3 linked regions of the Drosophila melanogaster genome follow. The protein of the gene in region 1 purifies or fractionates together with the protein of each later gene. This does not show direct contact. Each region holds a gene or a part of one and is shown in the gene's direction. Other genes may lie near its edges.

The links. Proteins that work in one complex are often made in the same cells at the same time.
Region 2: the proteins of Ilp3 (region 1) and ImpL2 purify together in Drosophila melanogaster (affinity purification with western blotting, with the first as the bait; one study listed by BioGRID). This does not show direct contact.
Region 3: the proteins of Ilp3 (region 1) and Sdr purify together in Drosophila melanogaster (affinity purification with western blotting, with the first as the bait; one study listed by BioGRID). This does not show direct contact.

The regions. Positions count from the first base shown.
Region 1 is NT_037436.4:9,800,627-9,803,979, reverse strand, and holds Ilp3 (Insulin-like peptide 3), read left to right. Parts: upstream 1-1,859; 5' UTR 1,860-1,930; coding exon 1,931-2,105; intron 2,106-2,177; coding exon 2,178-2,365; 3' UTR 2,366-2,682; downstream 2,683-3,353. Other genes in the region: Ilp4 (Insulin-like peptide 4), read left to right, coding at 1-32, 94-332. UniProt on the Drosophila melanogaster protein: Possible ligand of InR/insulin-like receptor.
Region 2 is NT_037436.4:4,224,210-4,227,756, reverse strand, and holds ImpL2 (Ecdysone-inducible gene L2), read left to right. Parts: upstream 1-1,806; 5' UTR 1,807-1,864; coding exon 1,865-1,873; intron 1,874-2,050; coding exon 2,051-2,830; intron 2,831-2,905; coding exon 2,906-2,920; 3' UTR 2,921-3,047; downstream 3,048-3,547. Other genes in the region: CG46460 (uncharacterized protein), read left to right, coding at 981-1,076. UniProt on the Drosophila melanogaster protein: Essential developmental role during embryogenesis, in particular the normal development of the nervous system. May be involved in some aspect of cell adhesion.
Region 3 is NT_033777.3:14,916,931-14,923,583, forward strand, and holds Sdr (secreted decoy of InR), read left to right. Parts: upstream 1-1,697; 5' UTR 1,698-1,947; coding exon 1,948-2,499; intron 2,500-2,577; coding exon 2,578-3,115; intron 3,116-3,173; coding exon 3,174-3,321; intron 3,322-3,382; coding exon 3,383-3,778; intron 3,779-3,841; coding exon 3,842-4,058; intron 4,059-4,110; coding exon 4,111-4,367; intron 4,368-4,437; coding exon 4,438-4,936; 3' UTR 4,937-6,153; downstream 6,154-6,653.

The DNA.
Region 1 (3,353 bases):
TGGATTTACACGCCGTGTCAGGCGGAGCAGTGGTAAGTTTGGGTACTATGCATATTCGATTGGCTTCCATACATCTAACTTCTTTTCGACAAGCGTCTAAGGATGCTAGAGTGCGAGACCTTATCCGTAAGCTACAGCAGCCGGATGAGGACATTGAACAGGAAACGGAAACGGGAAGGTTAAAGCAGAAGCATACGGATGCGGATACGGAGAAGGGTGTGCCACCGGCCGTCGGAAGTGGACGAAAGTTGCGACGCCATCGGCGACGCATCGCCCACGAGTGTTGCAAGGAGGGCTGCACCTACGACGATATACTGGACTACTGCGCCTGATGACCAGGATGGCAAAACAAAACAAATAAAAACCAGAAACCAGATCCCAAAAACCAAGTACCAGATGAACACGACATGGCTGAGATTTTGTGTGGCGGCACGGGGAAAACACCCGACGACCGGCAGGCTATTTGCAATTCATTTTCCTACTACACTTAACCCCTAACTATAAACGTAATCGTATTTCCAAATATTTCATTGTAAAATTTCTAGTGGAGGCAAATAAAGTTACTCTCCAAGCAGCAGCAGAAACAAAAGAAGAGTCCATTGCTTTTTTCTACATTCTACGCCCTGCAGCATTCCAGCTGTGAGGCATGGGGAATCCCCTTGTTATTCAAACCACCCGAAGCCACCCAAACCATCGAGCCACCCACAAGCAGCTGCCATTCAGCACCTCGAGTGCGGTGCCCTTGTTTTCCGAGAACAATAATGAAAAATATGAATTTTTAATTAGATGACGTTCTGATTTTAATAAGCAAAACAAAAGGTGGAGACAAAACGAACTCGGTAATACACTCAGATTCGAATTTACAGCTTCCTTTTTATCCATAATTTTTGTTATTATCGAAGGAGCGATATCAAAACTAGAAAACAACTTCCAATCAGTAGCGGGATTTTCCGAAGATAACACTCTATTCAACCGAAGGGTTTTGAAATGATAATAATTCCGTTCTTACAGGTAAAAATCTATACTAATACCTGTTTTTTTGCGGACGGAAAAAAGGCTCAGTTGGCTTATCATTGGCAAAAGGGACTTGGGGAAACCATAAAGTATCGAAGGTACTGAGCCAAGATAATGAGATAACAGAAGGCGACTTTATTGTTTTCCACTCAAAAGCAATTGAATAAGTTGGCACTCGTTTTTAATTGAATGGGAATGAAATAAGCTCTAAAAGTGTTGTTAAAACGTAATGGCTTTTGTGTTAATTTAAAGAATTTAAGTAGTTTTGAAAGTATCATTATTCTTTAGGTAATTTTTATTACATTCCAAATTTAATAAATGACTAATTCGAAAAAGTGTTTATTTAATCAATGAATATATTTCAAGTAAGTTTACTTTTAGTAGCTTGCCAAATGTGAGTTTAAATATGTATGCATAGAACTATATAGTTAAACTGCTAAACTTTACAGTTAAACTTTCTGAACCCACCAAAATGGATGAACATCCTCGTCTGCCGAAGGGAACTCGATGCACGTCATTTTGTTTTTCAACAATCCAGATCCGTGCGCTACTCCTTGGGCGAGAAAGTAAACAAACGCCAGCTGATATGCGTCAGACCCCCCGGGCTCATCATCATCTCACCATTTCAGACATCCCATGCCAGCCCGAATCCTCACGAGAAACTAGACCAGACCAGGGCGAACTACATATGTGGATGATGCTAACTGACACTACGGCTGACTCATGCTGACAGTGCTCAGACGCTGGATACAGCCCGCAGACATCCAACTCGTATCCTATCCGATTCTGCCCCATATATATAACCCTCAGTCGATGGCTGGGAGGCAAACAGTTGAGGCCGTGCCACTTGGCAGACACATACTACACACTCCCCGGGGGATTCACGCATCCATACTTAAACACCACTTCATCACTCATGGGCATCGAGATGAGGTGTCAGGACAGGAGGATCCTGCTACCTAGCCTACTCCTACTAATCCTTATGATCGGCGGTGTCCAGGCCACCATGAAGTTGTGCGGCCGCAAACTGCCCGAAACTCTCTCCAAGCTCTGTGTGTATGGCTTCAACGCAATGACCAAGAGAACTTTGGGTAGGTGGGATTTTTCTTGATATAAGGAATACTAAAGTGCCATATCTCTTTACTTTCACCTAACACCTGTAGACCCCGTGAACTTCAATCAGATCGATGGCTTCGAAGACCGTTCCCTGCTGGAAAGACTGTTGAGTGATAGTTCGGTTCAGATGCTCAAGACTCGACGTCTTCGGGATGGAGTCTTCGACGAGTGTTGCCTGAAGTCGTGCACCATGGATGAGGTGCTGAGATATTGTGCTGCCAAGCCGAGAACGTAAACCTCGTAAACCTATTAACCCAATGACGACAACTGCGATGATTGAAATGGAATGAAAGGACCCGATTGGGGAAAGCACTCACGTAATCATAGTTGTTAAGTCGTTATCGAAGCCTACTCAATTCCAACTTTGGATTTATGATATATATGCACATGTAAGAGGGATGTATGCGCATAATTTATGATCTGAAATCAGAGACAGGCACGCGAAATGAATCGGAACACGGGATGTTATGCATGGTAGATATGTATGATTGTGCGGGGCCAGAATACATCGCCTGGGTATAAATTATTAAATAAATTATGTATTCAAACTGCTGCAGATTGGCCAACTTGATTGGTAATGAAACGGGTATTACATTGATTTTTCATTGTCGTTCATTGCAGTTAATTATTTATTGAACAGCGGCCGGATTTCTGTTTGCAACTATGTTGAAAAGGAAGCTGTGATTTTTTAACAAACTCTGTTCATTGTAAAGTTTAAAATCATTCCAATTTAATGCCCTCAAAACCTACGCTGAAATGGTCAGTTTTAAAACGATATTTATTAATATTTTAGTTAATTTACTAAGATTATCCGTTTTGCACTTTTAATGCCTTGCATTTGGTAATGCGTGATTGTTATTTAAGGTCTGCATGAATTTAGTTGATTCCGTTTATTTTAGCTTTCAAAATGTAATAATCTTCTAATTTACAACTACACAGAACGATTAAATTATGAGTATTGCTATAAAATCGGCCAACCGCGACTAGAAATACTCGACTTTTAAGGTCAACATAAAAGTAAGTCAATGTTTTGATTATAAGATTTGATCAATTACTTCTTTACGGATGATATAATCATCGATAAACGAAGTACGAAAAAAGCTATGAACTAAAATTTGGAAATTTCCCACATGCGACTAACTTTTGAATTGCAATTGGATTGCCTACTGTATTAAGACAGAAACAAGTTTTGGAAATGAATGAATGGTTTAAATTGTTTCAAG
Region 2 (3,547 bases), 5.6 Mb from region 1:
AACAGAGTAGTGTGAAGCACCTTTATATGTAGGGTTAATTAATTTTACTTACATGTGATAGAAAGTCATAGGATCTCGAACACTGTTGTATGTTCTCAACAACTTGCATAAGATGACAATGTTAATTGTCAAGATCGAAATGAAATGGTATATGGGCTGGAAAGTCATTGAGCTATCCTTGTGAGACACCTCAGTTTCCAAACCACCAACTCTGGACTGCGGACGCAATTAGGCGGTGGAAAGACAGATCCCGAGGCGGATAATCGAACCCCCCGTCCGGTTATATCTGTTTTGTTCCGCACCTTCCCGGTGCGGCGGTCGCATAAAGAATTACGATCCGAGAACGAGCAGAGAGAGAGCGGCGAGTGAGTGAGAGTGTGTGTGTGTGTGTCTGTTGTCTGTGTGTGTGTGTGAGTGAGCCGGCGTCGCATATAAATGGAACAGCGCTGCGGCCACCAATTCAGTTCTGTTACAGTTTCCAGCTGTTGAACACGACTTTTGAGAGCCGCCGAAGCCAACTGATCCGAAGTTAACTAAGCCGATCCGCGATCCTCGCTTTTCAATTCGCCGTGAACCGCATTCGCAGCAGCAATCCCCCCCAAAAACCAAAAACCAACACACCTTGACTCGAGTGTAATGTCGATGAACCGTGCGTATTCAAACGAGTGCCGCGCCAACCAGACAACCATCAAGAAGTACCAGACCAAGTCCACGTCCACATCGAAGGAGCACTGATACCGCCACGAGGATCGAATGTGCCAAAGTAGTCAGCTAGATATTCGCTACGCCGCCTGAGATTAACACGCTTCCGCTACCCAATTACTCGATCCTTATCCCGATCCTGAAGCGCCACTCCCGAGCACAGCACCCAGACGTTTCAATACGATCCATCCTCGTCGCCCAAGACAGACCGGCAAGCAGCCAAGATTCCACCAACACTGAGCTGCACGACCTCCAAGACGGCATCCAGCGCCGGACCTATGTCAGTGCTAAGCCAGCTGCTGCTCAACTTCAACCAGAAAGCCCAGACCAGGAGCCATCACAACATAGAGCTGATAAATTCGTTCATAACATAACGATAAGCCGACCTGCTTCTGCTTTACCTGATCTATCATCGTCCAACGTTGGGGAGAAATTTGCAAACATTTTTTACCGGAAGAGAAAAAAGAAATCAAATCAAAGGGTGAGTAATGTGCGTTAACAATAGATAGGTGATTGCCGCCGAACGCAGTTTCGTGTTCCGTTTTTCGTTTGTTTTTTTTTTTTCAAAATTCGAATTCGTAGAAATGCCCAAAGATACAAAAATCACCGTCGAAGGGCAAAGACCGTCTGATGCAACATTCGCCAGCGATTGGCGAATGACTTTTTGTGGGGCTACTACTAATTCATACATACAAGCGTATGTACATACATAATACCCTCGAAACTATTTGAATAATTAATCGGTCACGCAGTTTGTCCAGTCTAGACTATGGGGACACATTGGCCCTTGATCTGCGGCTGAAGCGTGGGTGAGTGTGTGAATCCGAATCGGGCTGTAGAATTCGAATTTAAATTGACGTCACACTCCGCGAGTCATTCCGTTTTCCGTTTTCGATTTCTGCCTCTGATTCGGCCCACGCAAGAATCTTATATCATTTTCTTTTGTCAATTCTTGTTGTCTGGTGACGTGTCATTGTGAAATACATTCATCTACGTTTGGACCGAGCACATCTCTTAGGGGCCGGAAAAGGATTCCGAATCTAAATTCCGGACTCCGAGAGCCATTAGCACATTTCGCAAGTGTTAGTAATGTTCTAGAGCCCGCCGACTGAAGGCCTTGCGTTCTTATCGGGGAAATAGACTCGGAGACCTCCCCTGATTAATGGAGGCGGTGATGAGTGGGGGAAGTGGGGTGGTGGGGTGGTGGGGGGATGCATGACTGGCTGAAAAGTCGGGCTAATCGCATCACGTTGCTCTGGGGTTTAATAACCTATATTAGAGTCGTACGAGTGCCGCTGTTGAACTTTGAACTCACTTCCGATTTCCACTCTCTCTATCGATCTTGCAGAAAATGAATTTACATGTGTGCGCCTTAGCGCTGCTGCTGTTCGGCAGCATCGCCACTGTCCGCGGAAGAGCCGTGGACCTGGTAGACGATAGCAACGACGTGGATAACTCCATCGAGGCGGAGGAGGAGAAGCCACGCAACCGAGCCTTCGAAGCCGACTGGCTCAAGTTCACCAAGACGCCGCCGACGAAGCTGCAGCAGGCCGATGGAGCCACCATCGAGATCGTTTGCGAGATGATGGGCTCCCAAGTGCCCAGCATCCAGTGGGTGGTGGGTCACCTGCCCCGCTCGGAGCTCGATGATCTGGACTCCAACCAGGTTGCCGAAGAGGCGCCCAGTGCCATTGTGCGCGTCCGATCGTCGCATATCATCGACCACGTGCTGAGCGAGGCCCGCACCTACACGTGTGTGGGACGCACTGGCTCCAAGACCATCTATGCCAGCACTGTGGTGCATCCTCCTCGCTCCTCTCGTCTGACGCCGGAGAAGACCTACCCGGGTGCCCAGAAACCGCGAATCATCTACACCGAGAAGACGCATCTGGACCTCATGGGCTCCAACATTCAGCTGCCCTGCCGCGTGCACGCCCGTCCCCGCGCCGAGATCACCTGGTTGAATAACGAGAACAAGGAGATCGTCCAAGGACATCGCCACAGGGTGCTGGCCAACGGCGATCTTCTGATCTCCGAGATCAAGTGGGAGGATATGGGCAACTACAAGTGCATAGCCCGCAACGTCGTCGGAAAGGATACCGCCGATACCTTCGTGTATCCCGTACTTGTAAGTATTCCCCTACCCGCCGGGTTATACCAACTCATCCTAAGTAATCCCTACGTATTTTTCTTGTCCTTGCAGAATGAGGAAGACTAAAGATCCTACCACCAAATAAAAAACAAAAGGCTATTGGATTGACGACGGAAATTCATCTAGTTAGTTAGATAGATCAAATGCCTTCGAAGATGCGTGAAAAGAAATGAAATATGCTTAGAAAAAATACAAAAAAAAAAAAATCAAAAAAAAATATGATGGATCAAAAGGTCATACGATTTACAATTATGTACAATTTAGATTAAGCACAATCTAGCTCGTAGTCCAGGTAATTAACCGTATCTAATGCCGGCTTAGACACTAATTTTCCCACTTATTATCCTCGAATATCAGTCACATTTAGAGCATTCGAATTATAGCACCTACTTTATGGTTTTCTTCAATTATAGCTTTAGTTATCGGCTTGTAATCACGCTTCTTTGGTTCTTTGTAAGTAGCAATGATTGTTCCTAGCGATTCAGGCAGCACTAGTTAACGTATTTAAACTAATTGGCCGTTTACTTAAGGGCACTGCAGCCCAAGAAGCACTTATGACTCGTGGCACAAGCCACAGTCAATCAACCAATCAATCAGTCAATCACCCACCCAATTCGTATTTATGTGCACCCATCATTTCTACAACTAATTTATTGATCGACCAAATTCATTCAGCATCGCCACCCATACAGA
Region 3 (6,653 bases), on another chromosome or scaffold:
GATACAGTTTATGGCAGTTTTGTTTTTAGAAATAGAAGTTGGCTTTAAGCATATTTAAAGCTAAAAATAACGTTTTATGATAAATAATAATAATAAATTACTGCCTATATTGACCATTGATGATGGTTTTATCAATTATTAACTAATTTTGAATGGATTATCGCGACGGTAACATAAATTATTATGTTTAAAATAATTTTTGGAATAGATATAATAACTAAATAATTATCCTGGGGTGAATTAGGCAGATTTTATCCGCTGTTACATATGTAATGATATATTCAAAGTACTACACTAAAGATATACCCTATAATAACAAAGTGAAAATTTGAAATTATTTCGTGCGTTTTTATGTGGTTTGCCCATTAAAATATCTAAAACAACGGGGCACAATTTTGCGCAAATTATTTATAGATTTCTATTGCTATTGTATTTAACACATAAATATATTATCTATTTTTTTGTTATTGAACAATCATTCAAGCTGCGTATTCAATTGGCATCTGACTAAATTTAGAAAATTCTTTTTCCGATTCCATTGAGCGTTACTTGCACCTTAATGAACTGCCAATTGCGCGTTGTTCAATGCTCACTACTCTACCAATTGGATTGGAGCTTTGGTTCACCCCCTCCCACCATTTTCGCTCTTATTTTCACTGTTTTTTTGCATTCACTCTAATTGAATTGTTCGCCGGTGCAATTTAATTTCTGCGCAAATGCAAAAACAAAAGGCAAAGACATGCACTCTGGGGAAAAAGGTAAAGAACGCCGGTAGGTGGCTAAGGGGAAGGTAGCTAAGGAGGAAGGGGGAAGAGGATCCAACCGGTTTGCAAATGGTTGCAAGGTCACATGGGGAGTGGGGGCGTGGCAAGGGGCTGTGGCGGTTGCAGAAGTAACAAGTGTTTTTCGGCTGACGGCAACAAGGAAACGACAATGAGAAAAACGTGAAAGGTAACAGATGCGTAAAATAATCGCTCCCCAACAAAATGAAACAGTGGCGTGCCAAGAATTTCAAAAAGGGTTTCCAGTTTTTGAATTTCATTTGTAGCTCCACAAATCGATCTATCAAAAACCGTAAAAGATCATACGAATTATCATGGTACTCTTAATCTTAATTTTAAGTTTCGTATATCACTTTTTTAATTGACTGCAAAAGGGCATTAGGGGGTTTAAATTTGATTGAGAAAACTAGAAACAAACAAATAGCAAGACCGGCAAGTATATTATTTTACGATATTGTTTTACGAAATGTTTACTTTCATTAACGTAAATATTACCAGACTGCTCCCCATCGAATCATCAGTCTTCTTCTCTCACAACAGCCACCACCTTTGATTTTCATTCTTGAGCAGTTTTTATACACCGAGTCGAAAAAATAGTTCTGGTTTTTGAAGATATTTAGATATTTATATTAGAATTGGCTCTATCAAACAATATGCTAAATATTTTATTATTGTAATAATTTTGGAAATCTGCTTAAAAGATATTTTGCTTAAGAAAAAGGTTACTAAATATGTTCGCTTTGCATACATTTTTAGGTTCTTATAAATGTCGACAAATTTGAATAGTTTTATGAACACTACACGATTTTCCGCTGGTGTAGCCGAAGGGTTTAGAGAACGAAGACGAGCGCATAAAAAAGAAATAACAGTGTGAAACAAAACCAAACAAAACAAAACAAAGTGAATGCCGAAAGAAGAGGCTAATTAAAGAGATCGAAAGCACAGAACGCTGTTCGAATCGAATGCCATCAGTCCAAATCGAATCGTTGCCGCGAACGCAGCTCTCTTCAAAAGCGGAAAAAATATTTAAAAAAATATATAGTTCAACCGATCGATCGTGCGAGAAAAACGACATTGACATTCAAGCGGGCGCGCTAATTGATCCATTGGAAGCCCCCTTAACGCCCGGGTCAAGTGCTCTCAATTGGAAGTGTCAGGTGGCAGCATGGGGCATCTGCACCCCGTTCCCAACCCCCTTCCGATCCCCATCTCGATCGCAGTTCCGTTGATACTGCTGTTTTTGGGCGCCTCATCGCCGGTTTTGGCCAGTTCCGATGATCAAACCGCCTGCGGATCGTTGGAGATAAATAAGATTGCGGACCTGCGGAAACTGCAGAACTGTACTCATGTGGTGGGTCACGTTCGACTGGCCTATGTGGATCTGACGGATGTATCCGGCAACTACAGCCTGGATTCGCTGGCCAGCAATGTGACCGAGATCAGTGACTACCTAATGGTGTATCGCTGCACGGGTCTGATCAGCCTGCAGTCGATATTCCCACGGCTGCGTATCATTCGTGGGCAGGAGCTCCTCTTTGATCAGTACTCCCTGGTGGTCTACGAGAATCGCAATCTCAGGGAGCTCGGCCTGGTGGAGTTATTGCGCATCCAGAGCGGATTCATTCGCGTCGAATCGAATCCCTTGCTGTGCTTCGTGGAAACCGTCGATTGGATATATCTAATGGGCAATGCCACTCGGCAGCACTTTTCCCTTAAAGTGAGTGAAGATATACTTGGGCATATGTTCCTTGATATTAAGCAAATATTGGATAAATAACTTTTTTATTAACCATAGCACAACAGACCGCAAAGTCAGTGCCCTTTGTGTGGTAGCCTGTCAGCGGACTTCGAGTTCATCCGGAACTCCTCGGAGCGCTGCTGGAACGTGAATACGACACAACTTCGCCCCCAACCGCCCAGACTTAAGGACTGCCCCATTGCATGTGGCCTAAACGGATGTGATAGTGCGGGCAAATGTTGTGATCACAACTGTGTAACTGGTTGCTATTCCCAAAACTGCTCCCTTTGTGCAAACTACCAGGGAAGAATGGGATGTGTCAATCAGTGTGTCGCCAGCTATGAATTAAACAAGAGGAGGTGCATCGGTCACAGGGAGTGCCGGGAATTGGGAAGGATTCCCCTGATACGCGGCTATCAGTGTGTGAAAAAGTGTCCGGGAAACCAGAAAGAGATTTTGGTCGCCAAGGGCATCATCCACTGCCAGGTGGAGTGCAACGGCGATTTTCACGTGAAGAGTGCTGCCGACCTGGAAGTTTTACAAGACTGTGTGACGATCAATGGTTCACTTACCATCGAACTCACCAATATTAAAGGTGTGTTTCATATCATATATGATATCTGTATAATTTACTTACATAATACATTTTCCAGAAAAAATTGTAGATGCCTTGGAAAATGCGTTGGCCAGTGTTAAAGAGATCACTGGGTATCTGAAGGTCATACACTCTGCACAGCTGATGTCGCTCACATTTCTTCAGAATTTGGATGCCATAAGAGGGGATAAGCTGGTGGAAAACAAGTTAGTTTGAGAGGCAAGGATTGTATTGAAATTCTAATAATATTATTTATCTCATTTTCAGATACGCCCTGTATGTAGTGAATAACTACCATTTGGAGCACATTTGGCCACCCAATCACCTGGTGATCATTCAGCGCGGTACACTATTCTTTCACCTGAATCCCCGCCTGTGCTACGAGAAAATCCATCAGCTACAGGGCTCCCTGAAAAGCGGAGAGAATATATCCGTGGCAGATGTATCCCCCAATTCGAACGGCGAACGCGTGATTTGTGGCGACGCGGTGCGCTCCCTCAATCCCAAAGTGGAGGACCTAAATTCCACTGCGGTACGCATCATCCTGGACTACATGGACTGGGAGGGTATGGAAACGCTAATAGGATATTCGTATCACTACAAGGAAGCCCCGGTGCAAAACGTGACTATGTACGATGGTCGGCATGGTTGCGGTCATGACAAGTGGGTGTGGACTCCTCGCCCTCACCAAGTTTACCTACAGTGATTCTGTTTATAATTTTCCAGCTGGCTGATGGACGTTGTGCCCAACCAGAGTCGACGTCATGTGATAAGCGGTCTGAAGCCCTACACACAGTATGCGTATTTCGTGAAGACCCTCACCAGAACCGAATATCATATTCAGATAGATGCCTACTCAAAAATCGGCTACTTCCAGACGCTACCGGATAGGCCAAGTCCTGTGCTCCGAATATATGGCAGTTCGGAAATCAGTTCCCAGATTGTAAGTACTTTTCAAAATATATCTCTCAGCTTAAAAACTTGTTCATTTCCAGCTTCTTCACTGGTGGCCACCGAGGCGTCCAAATGGAGTCATTAAAAATTATTTTGTGACCGCCGAAAAGTACAATGCTACCAAGGAAGCAAAGGACAAAAATTATGTGAATGTTGAGTTGGAAAATGCTAAAGACATCGATTGTGAGTGCGCTGGTGTACTGCCCTACTATTCAGGTCCTCAGCCAGATGACGAGGATTACTACAACAAAGAGCAAATCACCTACGAGGATGCGTTGCCCAATCTCATTTATGTTTCGTAAGACAAGAAAATATGGTTTTCTTTGAAGTTTCAATTGAAATAATATACAATATTATACCATCTATAGGCGCAATCACGACTATCGCAGAAAGGAGTTCGAAAAAGTGATTAACTATGAGCACCTGTTGTCCATAAAGAAGGATGAAGAGCCCACCAGACCGCCCACAACCACTCCTGCTCCTACAAATGCAACATTGGCTAAGGAGAGATTGGCCGCAATTAACTATGAGAATTATCGCCTGAATAGCGAGAAGAAGCAGCGGGATCTTCAGGACTTGGACCAGCACAAGTATACCATCCGACATGCCTTGCCCAAGTGCCAAAACTCCCACGCATCCGTGGTCCAGCAAGTGGAGGAAAAATGCGTGGCTGAGGAGCCCTTGAGTGGCTACGAACTTCCGGGCACCCAGCACTTTTACTGCCTCTCCCAGTTGGAGCCGGAAACCCATTACCGGATCACCATACGGGCTTGCGTCGAGGGCGTGGTCAACGGATGCTCAACTCCGGCGGAAGCTGTAATCAAGACTGCAAGCATCCAACTGGAGCGATTCATCAAGGGTGTTTAGCAGAGAATCCTCGATCGCAGACTTTCTGTATCCGCTGACAAGTGATAAATGCTAGACCCATATGACGATAGGCATGTTGAAAACTTGATGCAATATCAACCTAAATCAACGTGTTTAACATTTACTATATCTGTATTTATTGTTCTAAAAAACTTGACATAGAAGGACCGCTGGACCTCTTATTTTTCCAGACTATATATGTCGTAGTTTTACTATTTGGAATTAATTTTTTTTTTTAATATTTTTCGGTTTTTAACTTTGATTATAATTAGACTGAACAGCTTTAATGCTTTTTACTTGAATCAATTGTTAAAATGTAATGTAATGTGTAAGCCGTGTCATATGGGCCCAACTAAGTATTGTAAGTCAAGTGACTGTAGTTCCTCCAAATGTATTGTAAATGTGTAAATGCCAAACAAATCCTCGACAAGCGAGCAAATGTTTTCATCAGTGCTAATTTGACTTATCAGCTTATCAGACTTAGCCGCACGTCCTTGCAATGTGTGCCAGAGCCAGAAACCGTTCAAAGGGAAAAACCCTCACTGACAGCAGTGATTCCTGAGATCCTCAACTTGGCCCGGAAAGCGGTTACCTTTCTCTCGAGATTGGCCATGGCATAAGCCTAGGCGAAACTAACAACAGCAGGCTGCCTGGAACTTCCAACGCATGCCACTTAATATGCAAATATGCCGCAAAAGAGCTTTAAACTTTAAAACACTGACAAAAACTAGAACTAATCCCCACCATCGAAAACTGGGCGGAAAGGGACTAGGTCGAGACGATGCTTTTGCTTTCGGTGTGGAGTGGAGTCAAGTCGAGTACGTGTCATGTGTCGCCTTGTTTGTGGCCAAGTTTTCGGCGCAGCTGGAAAAGTTCCATGAAAACGTGTCCCACTCAATGGGGAAAAGCGGTTCGTGATTGACGCAGGACTAAGTATGAGCGGCGAGGGGTGAGCGGGATGCGGGAAGCTAAGGACGCTCAGAGTGCCTGCAGAGGAAAAGGATTTCAATTCTGCCGCTGACACTGACGCGCAATTTAACTACCTTAGAGGTCGCGAGTGAAGTACTCCAAAGGGGGTAACTTGGCGACTATCCCTTCGCGTACTTTGGAAGCTTCACTGCAAGAAACTCACTAGCACAAATTTAGGTCATATATAATATACTGCAATTGAAAGCCAATCAATAAAAGGTATAACATTTCATTGTCTACAATAAAATTCCCTTTAAAAATACTCAAGTTTATCATATTTGTTAGTCTAAGCTAGAGTTTCTTTTTAGTGAGCTAATACCCGCTGGCAAACCTTATTCAACCTACTGAGTGTAACTAATCTCTTTTTCAATTTTTGATGTAGCCATTTAAATCAACTGGCTGGACTTAAAGCAAAATGCTGGGCAGCTGGAAACCACTTATGCCACATCCTTTGGCGCCGTCTTTAAGTGGAGGAAGGAAGAGATATGGGGCTGTGTGTGATCTTATCCTAAACCAATTGTATTTCAATATTTCACTGTCCCCTCCTCTTCGCCCTTTGCTGTTGCACCATTTTTCGCGTTATTTCCGTTGCCATAGACGCAGTTGTAGTAGCAGCTGTAGCTGTGGTTGCAAACGTAGTCCTTGCCGTGTAGCCTCGTTATCCTTGCACTCGTTTGTTATCTATGCACTTGCCGGGCCAAGCACTTTGGGTGCGGTTCGTCGATGTCAGTGCGTCAGTTTAGCAGTT